3 linked regions of the Bombyx mori genome follow. The protein of the gene in region 1 interacts with the protein of each later gene in a pairwise test. Links are inferred from orthologs where the notes say so. Each region holds a gene or a part of one and is shown in the gene's direction. Other genes may lie near its edges. The genes, in order: Erk, protein phosphatase 1 regulatory subunit 12B and ARF GTPase-activating protein Git.

Region 1 (4,363 bases):
ATGCCAAAAGGTAATTTTAAAGGAATGGTTTGACGTAGATTTGTTGTGTCGCTTCCATAGATAATAATACACTTAAAACTTAAAACTGTATCATGTTTTCGAGTTAGACAAAAATTAAAATCAATGCAAGAAAAAACAATTAAAATGTTTTGGGTTGTTCAGAATCGATTTACCAAGCAAAACCATTTTTACAAATATACAGCCACGTAAAATCTTGAAGAACTATGAATTGTTGTTATTTAAATTTTAAATAATCGACTAATATCTCGAGCTCACCAAATATTGGATAAAAATTGCCGAGAGTGTGTTATAGTAGAGCTGTACAATTGTATTAAAGTAGATTGAAAGATTGAATCTATATTTAAAAAAATGAATTGCTGTTCGTTAGTCTCGCTAAAAGTGGAGAACGGCTGGACCGATTTGGCTAATTTTGGTTTTGAATTATTCGTGGAAGTCCAGGGAAGGTTTAAAAGGTGAGAAAATATAAAAAAGCTCGGAATTATATAAAAACAAACAATTTTGTTTTTCCTTTGATGTGTCCCCTTGATGTGTCTTTTATTTATCGATTGAGGCAATACGAAGTCTGCCGGGTCAGCTAGTCTTCAATAAATATGGTAGAATATAGTAACAGTGATAATTTTTTTTTTTGGAGTTTACCGCTTGTTATCTAGACCTTTAGGCCATGTGAGAGTGAATATAAGCATAGAGGGCTGCCAGATACTAAAATTAGCTACAAAATGTTTTAATTTGCTAGCCTTGTGTATTAACGGTATCAAGCAGTATTTGACGGTAAGCAGCGGCTTGGCTCCGCCCTTGGCATTGCTGACGTCCATAAGTGACGATGACCACTCACCATCAAGGGGGCGGTATACTCGTCGGCCTACAAGCACCATAAAAAGTATATGTCTAAATCATATTTTGAAAAAACTGTGAAACGAGTGGCCGTGTGTACTTTAAGCAATTAAAGTTATATTTTTCAGTAGATTTTGAGAAACCTCATTTTACAATGCATTTCTTTATTGTACACACAGTTACAATATAATAATTGCGAAAAGTTATAAAATGGCGAGCTTAACTCAACAATTGAGTTATCTACCAGCTAACCGTTCTTAAAGAGAGCTTTACATAGGTGGGTAGAAGAGTACAATCTAATCAATTTACTTATTGGTACAATACAATAATTCAATAATAATTCTTCCCTTAGTTCACTCAATAATAGTTGATAATGTAAAATATCAAGATATCGAGTATTTCAGTTCTGTCTATTTATTACTTCTGTGTGGAGATTAGAATAACTGCTAACACAAAAGTTAAAGAGTAAAATAATAAAAGTTAAAGTGTAAAAACTACTGAAATCTAGTTTTCTTTTATTGAAGAAAAATTTAAAAAATTGCAATCATATGTCGTTATACATAATTCAAATAATGTTGTATGTAGTTCAAACCTAGTGGTACATAATAAGGTAGTTGTACTGGCATCCCTGGTGTTCTATGGTGATGTGATTTGATGCAGATTACAGAAAAAAATCCAGTTCATTTTTCTAACGGTACTGTCGCGGCACAGGAGTGTCCGTAAAAGTCGGACGGGCCTCGAAAATGATAAGCGAGTGACAAGTGAACGATTGTTCTGTGGATAATGTAGGTCGCCGCAGTTTGTTGTCATAATTGATGTGAATAACTGATCCCGTGTCCGAAGGAATATATGCTGGCGACGCCGGTGGTCTGAAGAATTTGTGTGTTTAGTGGATCACTAGTTTTAAACCATGGCTGAAGCTGCAGGTGCTGCCAGCAGCAACCCCAACGCTGAGATTATTCGTGGCCAAGTGTTCGAAGTTGGTCCACGGTACACAAGTCTGCAATATATAGGCGAGGGAGCTTATGGAATGGTTGTGTAAGTAATCTGCTAATTGAAACTTTGTTCCCTAATGTCAGCTCTATAACAGAACACCGGCCCCTATCTAAATTGAAGTATATTTTCCTGTTAATAAGCTGCTCTAAATGTTGTCAATGTCTTTGAACACAATTACTTCAAATTTGTTAATGCTTGTTGTTTTGTTTTGTACTTGAGACAATGTTTATTAGAAGTATTTTGAAACTTTGCTTAAAGTTTGAAATCTTTTATAATTACCTCAATAGTTAGCTATCTGATGATTTTAATAATATGTATGTTAGAAACTAAACTTAAATCAAGATTTGAGACATTTAGTAGACAAATTCTTTGAGTTTTATATAAAGATGGATAATGTAGCTTAACAAATGACTTACAAATTGCTCCATGACATTATATCATATAAAGCTTGAGTGACTGCAATACATAATTTTATATTATTTTTATTTATTGCCCGTATTTGGGCTATTGTATTTCATTACTTTGATTCATAAATAGAAAAATATGTTGATCTTTAATAATAACAAAACTCCTTTTTCAAAAATAATTACTAGGTACTAGATATATTACTGCGATGAATTTTTCATAATGCCACAGTATCTATACTTAATGATCAGTGACTAAAGTTTACTAATTTGAAAAGACTATTGTTAGGTACCTAAGCCAGTGAATAAAAGCTGAAACTTCTTTGAAATTTGATGATATTTGTCCAACAGTTATCTTATCTCGGTTTTATCGATTATCACATTATGTTTTACTTTGTTGTTACTGTTGATAATGACATCATGTCTGACAATAAGTTTTGGATAATTTGATTAATATAATATTAGTTAACAATTTTATATCGTCATATTAAAAATCAATACTGGAGAATTGCATACACTATATTAATATTTAAATCGGAGTATATCTACAATACCATACAAGATAACATTATTATAATAATCTCACTATGAAACCAGAAAACAGAATTTTTAATGGCTGTAGTTATATTAATAGTAATATTTGCACGATGGAGTTTTATAAAAAAATAGATAAAAGGGATTATAAGATGTAAATGTGCAACTTAGGCCTTTTGGAGCTACTATTCAGTACTACTATTTACTACCATATGTTTCAATTGAGTTCAATAATACAACATAACAAACCAGCAGTTTTCCATAACTAAACATCCTTAAATTGTGCCTTCCTTAAATTAAAGTTAGTGTGGGTTGAGGGATCAGCACAAGCACCAGTTTTTAAAGTAACTTCTGTTGCTAGTATTACTACTATACATATATTATAGTATTTATTATATACCAGACGACATATTCAATGAACCTAGAGCCCACCTAGTGGTAATTGGATACTGACAGCTACACTACCATTCAAAAGTTTGAAAACACTAAGGTAATTTCAATAAAAATGTCATTAAAACACCTAAGTCATTATTTATATCACATATTAAAATATATTTAGGGCATAAATAAAATGTAACATAAAATACTTTTCATTAAATTCTTGCTTCATCAAAATAATTCACATAAAATATGTGATATTCATTCTTTTGATTAATTTACCAAAATATTCAGAGTCCAGTAATTTCTATTCATTTTGTAATTATTTCCACCACTGTGCTGAGCTTCATGGACAACGGTTCTTAACTTTTCTAACCAGCTCATTCCATACTAATTAAATGGGAGGGATATCTGGTGACCGATGCACATTTCATCTTGCAAAATTTCTTCCTTTTTTCCCCCACCTATTCGCCCGTAGCCTAAAAGGCTATTCCAGCTAAGCCCAGACCAGTAGGTGAGCTCACGGGCTCAACCTGAGAGAATTTTCTAACACTAGCCCTAGCTCTAGCAAGAGCAGTGCTTCGCAGAATCTACCACTGGATCGCAATTGCGACCCACTGAGAAGATCCGGCGAGAAACCCAGTGGGTTGTGCCTATAGACTAGTTCGCACTTCGAACTCTTCGTCGGAGTCGACGAGTTCGACGAGGACTGTGATCGGTGCATGAAGAGCCTAAAAGCACCGAGAGTGGATCCGGGGGATCCGACAAGACATGTTTTGAGTGACGGCGGCTTTGCTTTGCCCTGTCGCCTGGGTCGGATATACTATAGCTTTCTCCGATCTGGTCGAGCAATAACGGCAGATGTTTGCTGTGCCGAACTCCGAACAATGATAGTAAAACTTGCAGTCAAACAGCCCCGACTCATGAATCGATTTTCATTATTGCGAGACCTCATACAACACGAGAAATCGTTTTAACTCTACAGGAACTGCAATTAGGAACCATTTGTCACCCTCCGTATTCGCCAAACCTTGCTCCAACGGACTACCATTTTTTTCGTCACTTGGACAATTTTCTACGTGATAAAATGTGTTCTTCCCAGGAGGCAGGCTGTACAAGATGCTTTCACACAGTTTGTAGAATCTAGATCACCAGAGTTTATTGCAAAGACATAAATGACCTTCCTATTAGATGACAGC
Region 2 (3,657 bases), on another chromosome or scaffold:
GACTAGTAAACCCGGTCGCGCTTTACTTTGAAAATTTGTATGAGAAGTATTGATCTCTTGAAATTGTTCACGCGTCATTGTACGTTGATGGTATTATGACAGAAACCTTCCCTACAGCGGCAATTTCAACCGTACCTAGTTTCACCACATTAAGATCTGCGGTTCAGTAACGCATAGAGGACAAAGATTCGTGATTATTTCAACATGTATGCAGATTGTACCAATTAAACGTTTGAATACAGCGCCATCTATTAGATACTTACTTACCCAACCTGGACAATTAAGCATCATGTCGATATGTTAGCTTACACCACCATCTCTTAGAAACTAACTCAGACCTCATATACAACAATGGCCATTTGTCATTTAATAAACAAATAAATTGAAAAATTGAAAATATTGTTATCATGAATTGAGATCTGACTGTTGGGTTGAACGAAGTTGGCCCAAACTGTACATAAAATGCAAATTTCACTTCAATCGGTTCATTAGTTCATAAGTATATCGCGGAAAACAACGAGGGTTAAACATTTTATACGAACACAGATATAAGTAATTAAACCTTTTATAACACTCATGAAGCCATGTCTTGCGATTTTGTTTCCCTTGTGCACTCTCACAAGTACTAAACGCTCAATACACTGGTGGAACATAAATTATCAAATACAAGAATACATACGTTATCACCCTTCAAGTACTCAAATACTCGAATAAAAGTCAAACATTTCATTAATATGGAAAAAAAATTGTAGGAAAATAAATTATAACTAAGTGCCTTTCGCTGTTTTGTTTTCTTTAATTGCCCGCAGACACGCATGCTTTGCCCGGTTTATTCATGTTATTATATAAAAAAAAACGTCACGAAAAAATCTTAATCGAAAATCTTAAAGGTTGTAGTAGAAGAGTATTTAAAATAATTAATACTAAGCCAGTAAAAAACTTAAAGAAATTTAATAAAAATTGCTTGAGAACCTCTCAGGAATTGTTTAAGATGCTCCAGTCATCTCAAGTTTTGAAGTCAAACTTCTTTAGAATCGTGATTTCAAACTCGATGAAACGAAAAAATAAGTCCACAGAGACAGTTTAATACAGCGCCATCTATGAGAGTTTTTAATACTAACGCGTGTATGAAACCTCTTGTAGTGAATTTTAATTTAGGATTATACGTGAAGTTAAAATATCAATTCACAGAGGGCGCTACCTCATACTATAAAAGATGATTTATAATTATTTACTAATGACAAAATTTTACATTTAGGGTAATTGTATTTTAATTTTTGAGGGTTTCACTTCTACCACGTGTGAATTGCAAACATGTATTTTTTTATTCTCGGATCGCTCATCACAGGAGCAGGGCTCACCCAGACTAGTTAGAGCCACTAAATTCATCGACAGTGCGACAGACAGGCTTTGAGTATTTGTAGTTTTTTTTAACGTGAGCTTTTTAAATATCATATGGCCGTAGATCCCTGTTTTGTAAAAGATCACATGATCATTTCGTTATATTAGTGTTTATTGAGTCTGACTACTGCCCCACGAGTTAGGGGTTCGATTTCAGTCTTTATTAAAAATATCTGACATTCGGAACTTGGCTCTGTATATTCTCGTGACGCATGCTTATAGATACCCTTAAACTGGCTAAGAATTCTAGATCGGGATCTTTTCATATAGCTTATTTATTTATTTGTTGCAGGCGTTGATTGTGAGAAGTCAAGGAATGCAGAAGTTGATACGCTGATGAGTGACGCCAGAGAATGGGCATTGCACGGCTACGTTGAAGTTCGAGACTTGAAAACGGGAGGCACGCCGCTCCACGTTGCCGCTGCTAAAGGATATATCGACGTAAATATAAAACTATACTGAGACCTTAGAACTATATCTCAAGGTGTGTGGCGCATTTACGTTGTAGATGTCTATGGGCTCCAGTAACCACTTAACACCAGGTGGGCTGTGAGCTCGTCCACACATCTAAGTAATAAAAATAAATAAATAAATAATAGACTCGATTGAGCCTTTCTAATTATTTTTTTTACTGCCGAGGACATAGTATAGTTTCACCTGTTGTCTCTACAATATATTTACGCTGGCGTATTCTAATTCGGCCTCTGGAGCGCCTTTTCCTGGATAAATGTGCAGACGATCATCTTACTGCCAATCTGATCGTTTGATGAACAGAACCGGGGAAACAGTCAAGACATTTTAAGATGAATCTTAAACCGTTGTGCTTAGCGAGTTTTTTTAACGTTCTCGATGGCGTAAAAGTTAACTCGTATATGGAGTTGGAAAGATTGCCTACGTTTGCCGCTAGGGGCACTTTTTTTTTTTTCGGGTAGTGGGCCGAACCTCCTACGAGGTCCCGCGCTGTTCCAACTGCACACAAATATGAGTTAACTTTTACGCTATCGAGAACGTTAAAAAAATCGCACTAAGAACACAGGCTATACAAAAATAAATAATAGTTTAAAAAAACTAACAAAATACGCTTTTATAGAAAATCCAACTTAAAAATAGGAAATAAATTTTAATAAATTTGAATTAAAAATAGTGTAAAAAAAAATGATTTTTTTGTAAAAAAGCGTGGGGTGCATGATATCAGTAGCTTTTATAATAATTATTTTAATATTTTTACTGGTGGTAGGACCACTCGTGAGTCCGCGCGGATAGGTACCACCGCCCTTCCTATTTCTGCCGTGAAGCAGTAATGCGTTTCGGTTTGAAGGGTGGGGCAGCCGTTGTAACTATACTGAGACTTTAAAACTTGTATCTCAAGGTGGGTGGGTGGCGCATTTACGTTGTAGATGTCTATGGGCTCCAGTAGCCACTTAACACCAGATGGGCTGTGAGCTCGTCCACCAATCCAAGCAATAAAAAAATGAAGAGATATGATTAATTAACTATTTTTTATTTTTTAGTTGAATTTCAATTATTTCAATTTTTTTTTAATTTTTTTTTACATTAAATTTTCATCGGTCCTTAATAAGTATACAAAATTTCGAGTTAATCCGATTTTTTGAAGGGGTTCATAATCATGTTCAAAGATTCCGTTACAAACATACATACATACATACATACGTCTGAAGCCAATAAAAGCGTATTAAAAAAGTATTGTTTTTTGTATACGCAGGTGGCCAAAACTCTACTGGAGGATTGTAATGCGGATCCTGACTGCGTTGACTACGAGGGCTGGACACCGTTGCACGCGGCCGCATTGTGGGGACAAAAGGAGGCGGCAGCATTACTACTCAAATTCGGAGCTGATCCACATCTCAAAAACTATTCGGTTAGATTAAAAAAAATTATTAAATTTTGCTACAATTAATTGGTTAGTACTAAACACTTGATGTTCATTTGTTTATTTTCAATTTAATAACATTTTGAACTCTGTTGGCGTTATCTGTGGGTTATCTATAATGTCAGTATAGATATATACATAAAACAGGTTACAGGTTAGCGTTCTTTTCGGCTGTCTGGGATAAATATATTTAAATGTCTTCCATAGCATACAATGACTGCAGTCTAGATTTTACGTAAAAAAATAATAAAATGAAATAAATACATTTAAATTCTTACAATAAAAAAAAAAACAATTTTGAAGTCTTGTTTTTCTAAATCTTTATTAAATATTTTAATGCTTTGAACTCATCTCCAATTTCCTTT
Region 3 (3,657 bases), about 12 Mb from region 1:
GCCCACAGTCCACTTAGTGTTAAGAGGTTACTGGAAGCCCATAGACGTCTACAACGTAAATGCGCCACCCACCTTGAGATATAAGTTCTAAGGTCTCAGTACAGTTACAACGGCTGCCCCACCCTTCAGACCGAAACGCATCACTGCTTTACGGCAGAAATAGGCAGGGCGGTGGTCGAGCCTTAATTTAACTATAGATCTATTCTCTTGATCAGTAGAAAAGTATAGTAGTTTTTGTTGAATTTTAACGACGACAAAGTTAAGCGACAATGACTAAGCTCTTCAAATTTATGATTCATTTACTGAAGCTATATAAAAAGCTTTGGAGCGATAGACGTGCGTGCATAAACACCAAATGCCTAAAGCTACTTTCAGACAACGCTATACTATATTGCCATATAGTATAGCAGCGTATACTTAGCCAATAATATATAGTACAGTACAGCGTGAACGTGTCTATAACAATGTATGGCGCACGATATTGTTGTGCTATGAGCTATATAATATATGCTATTATATTATAGCGTGGTCTGAAAGCGACCTTACCCTCTCCGTAATCAACAGCTATCGACAGTGACCCCGCGGCGAGGGGACGCCGTGTCGGCGACGTACAGCCCGGGCTTGCCCACTGAACAGTCACCCATCGCCGACCCGCGCCGCACCCAGTCGCCCAGCTGTCCGGCTCAGGCCACGCCGGAACGAGACGACCAGATACAGCATTTAAAAAAAGAACTGCACGACAAAGACTCGACCATAGACGAGCTAAAAACTCAGTTGAGGAATCTACAAACCATAGTCGAGAGATTGACTAAAGAGAACAGCGTTTTGAAGACGAGCAGCATCGATGACGACAGTGTGACGTCACTGACCGGGGAGAGCTGTAGTGGTCTCGATGGCTTCGCGGCGCAGGAGCGCGGCAAGAGTCTCGAGTCCGAGCTGGGCCGCGAGGTCGACGTGAGGCCGGCCAAGGGCTCGCAGCGACCGGTCAGTATGTATGAGACTAGGGAAGGCCCAAAGAATAACTGGCAGGTTACTAAACACCAGGTACTAATCATATATTAATTATACTAATTTAGTAGTTTTTAATACAGTTTATAAGGCAACACTTTTGTTTTTTTTTATATGAGCCTATTTGCATTAGAATTGTTAATTTTGAATAAATAATTTTACTAGACGACTTGATTTAAAATTTGTTATGGACTTTGTTTAAAAATGTTGTCTTATAAATACAGTACGGGAACAGTTCTCGAAAACGAGGGCGTGCGCTGCTTTCGTAGAGAATACTGGGGCGGGGCTTCCAGAAGGTTCTGTCGGCTGCCTCCGCCTACTGCCGCCTGGCGGAGGAAAATGGCTAACCCTCACAATTTTTTATCTTAAACCTCTTTACGTGCAATGCTCTTTGAGTTTCGGAAACTGTTCCTTTACACCCTTGTATGAGTAATTTGAACAAAACTGATGGGAAATTTGTAGATAGTTCTTACAAACAGTAGTACTAATACTCGACAAATAATTAGGGTTTATTTTTGTCTGCTTTAAATATCTGAATATTTTTGTAAAACATAATATTTTAGTACAAATTTGAAAACTCACTAAATTGATAAATACTTGTAGAACAAGTCCACGACATTCTTTATGTTTTTGTAAAAAATCCATACCTTTTTTTAGATGAGTAAAGGAGCTCTCGGTCCACCTGGTGTTAAGTAGTTACTGGAGTCCATAGACATCGACAACGTAAATGTTGCCAGCCCACCTGAAGAAATTAGTTCTAATTCTCGGTTATGTAGTATAACGGCTGCCCCACCCCTCAAAGCGAAACGCATTACTGATTCACGGCAGAAATAGACAGGGTAGTAGTACCTACCCTTGCGGATTCACAGGATTTCCTGCCACCAGTAAAGTCCATATTTTTATTAGAAGTTGTTTAGAAGATACGAATGCATCAGGCATCTTATCCTTTATGTGACGACGGCTTTAGATCTTATGATTACGATCACAGAAGTCCGACCAAGTTCAGTGTTGCCAAATTAATTCTGATTTATTTCAGCTGACAACCCTGTCGAGTTTCGATCGTTCGTTGACCCAGAGCGTTTTGGAGGGTGCCAGCCCGGAAGACATAATTCCGAGCGCCGATCTGGTGCACAAGCGCGCCGAGAGCGTCACGCGCGGCATCCAGCAGCTGTGGGCGGCGGCGCGGCGCCACCAGTCCGGCGCGCTGTCTGGCGCACAGTCCGGCGTGCAGCAGCGGGCCCGCGACACGCGCCGGGCCGTGGGCGCGCTGCTGGCGCTGTTCCCGCAGGTCGGTCCCCTGCTGCCCTACACCTACCCTCGTTACACGTGGACTGCGGTTGACTAATACGATAAGAACTTATGCAGAAATTAGTAAATTAACATTGTTTCTTTGTCGGCTTCGAGAACGATCTCTTGATGCGTTAAGTTTACAATTGTCTGATGCCACATTTTTGTTTCCAAAATTCAAGCCCATTAATTTAATGTCCCATGTCTGCTGCCCATCCTGATACAAATAGAAGCCGCAATGAACAGAGTTCGCTGTCGTCGCAGTCTCGTATGGGCTACCTTAATCTACGATCTGGCGCCTGTAGCGAACCCGTAGCCTGAGATTGAAGTCTCCATTGAATTGAGGACTTCTGTGTCATTTTTCAAACCGATTGTAGTGCCCATCCGTGCGGGCGTAAAACACGGCCTAACAACCCGCAGTAACAGTCTAGTTGTCGCAGGACTGTGTAGGCGGCGAGCTGGGCGCGGTGCTGGCGGGGCTGCGCGCGGCGAGCGAGGGCGTGTCGGCGGCGTGCGACTCGGCGGCGCCGCTGCCGGAGCTGCGGGCGGCGGCCTACGAGCTGGCCAAGGCCACCAAGCTCCTGCTCACCCACTTCCCCCCCGCCCCCTCCTCCTAGCGACCGCACTACGCGCACTACACCACCGTGTAGCGTGCGCCCCCCCTCACCTCATGGAACTTACATAATAGTGCGCTAAGACGTCTGTGGAGGTGGACAAGCCGGACAACACTTACGAAGTGACGCGATGAGATGGGTGCTCTGTGACACTCTACGGTTCACAAATAATAATAATTATATTTAAAGAACTAGAACGTCGGACGAAAGGAGAAACGTATAACGACTTATGACGTCACAATAATGTGCAAAGTTTTAATCTTATACCGAAAATTTTTTTTTTCATAATTGTCCAATTTAGTAAACAAACATGGCGGCTCGGTAGCTTCATACCTGTGTAGTTACGATAATTCATTTATGTTGGTTAACAAGTCAAATGTCTCCGCTTTACGGAGCCTTTCGTGTCTATGTTTATGTAGCTTGATCACAGACCGACTAGAGTGGAACAGATAAAGTACAAATGTACAAAAATTATTAATAATTTTCAATTTTAGTTGTTAAATGTTTTATAAGTCTTCCTATGATTTAGAATTATGGAGCACGATGTTCGGAACGAGGTGAACGTCCGATCTAAAAGTGTTAAGAGTGTACAGTGTTCTTGAAGATAAATAATGCTTTACGCTTAGATATACGTAAATAGCAGTAGCTAGACGGAATGTATTCAATTTAGTGTTATAAGGACGTTTATATAGACCGACTTATGTCAATCTTATTTGGATTTTAATGTGCGATTCTTTTTTGTGTTTTG

The links.
Region 2: the proteins of Erk (region 1) and protein phosphatase 1 regulatory subunit 12B interact in a two-hybrid assay, tested with the Caenorhabditis elegans proteins (3 studies listed by BioGRID). The link is inferred for Bombyx mori from reciprocal best matches to the Caenorhabditis elegans genes mpk-1 and mel-11.
Region 3: the proteins of Erk (region 1) and ARF GTPase-activating protein Git interact in a two-hybrid assay, tested with the Caenorhabditis elegans proteins (3 studies listed by BioGRID). The link is inferred for Bombyx mori from reciprocal best matches to the Caenorhabditis elegans genes mpk-1 and git-1.

What each region holds. Positions count from the first base shown.
Region 1 is NC_085116.1:4,060,098-4,064,460, forward strand, and holds the start of Erk (extracellular regulated MAP kinase), read left to right. Parts: upstream 1-1,527; 5' UTR 1,528-1,762; coding exon 1,763-1,890; intron 1,891-4,363. UniProt on the Caenorhabditis elegans protein: Functions in let-60 Ras signaling pathway; acts downstream of lin-45 raf kinase, but before the lin-1 gene product in controlling vulval cell differentiation. Plays a negative role in proximal germline proliferation in the mitotic zone.
Region 2 is NC_085107.1:4,052,512-4,056,168, reverse strand, and holds part of protein phosphatase 1 regulatory subunit 12B, read left to right. Parts: intron 1-1,693; coding exon 1,694-1,842; intron 1,843-3,124; coding exon 3,125-3,280; intron 3,281-3,657.
Region 3 is NC_085116.1:15,973,906-15,977,562, reverse strand, and holds part of ARF GTPase-activating protein Git, read left to right. Parts: intron 1-546; exon of another isoform or gene 547-564; coding exon 565-1,044; exon of another isoform or gene 1,045-1,750; intron 1,751-2,044; coding exon 2,045-2,296; intron 2,297-2,735; coding exon 2,736-2,912; 3' UTR 2,913-3,657.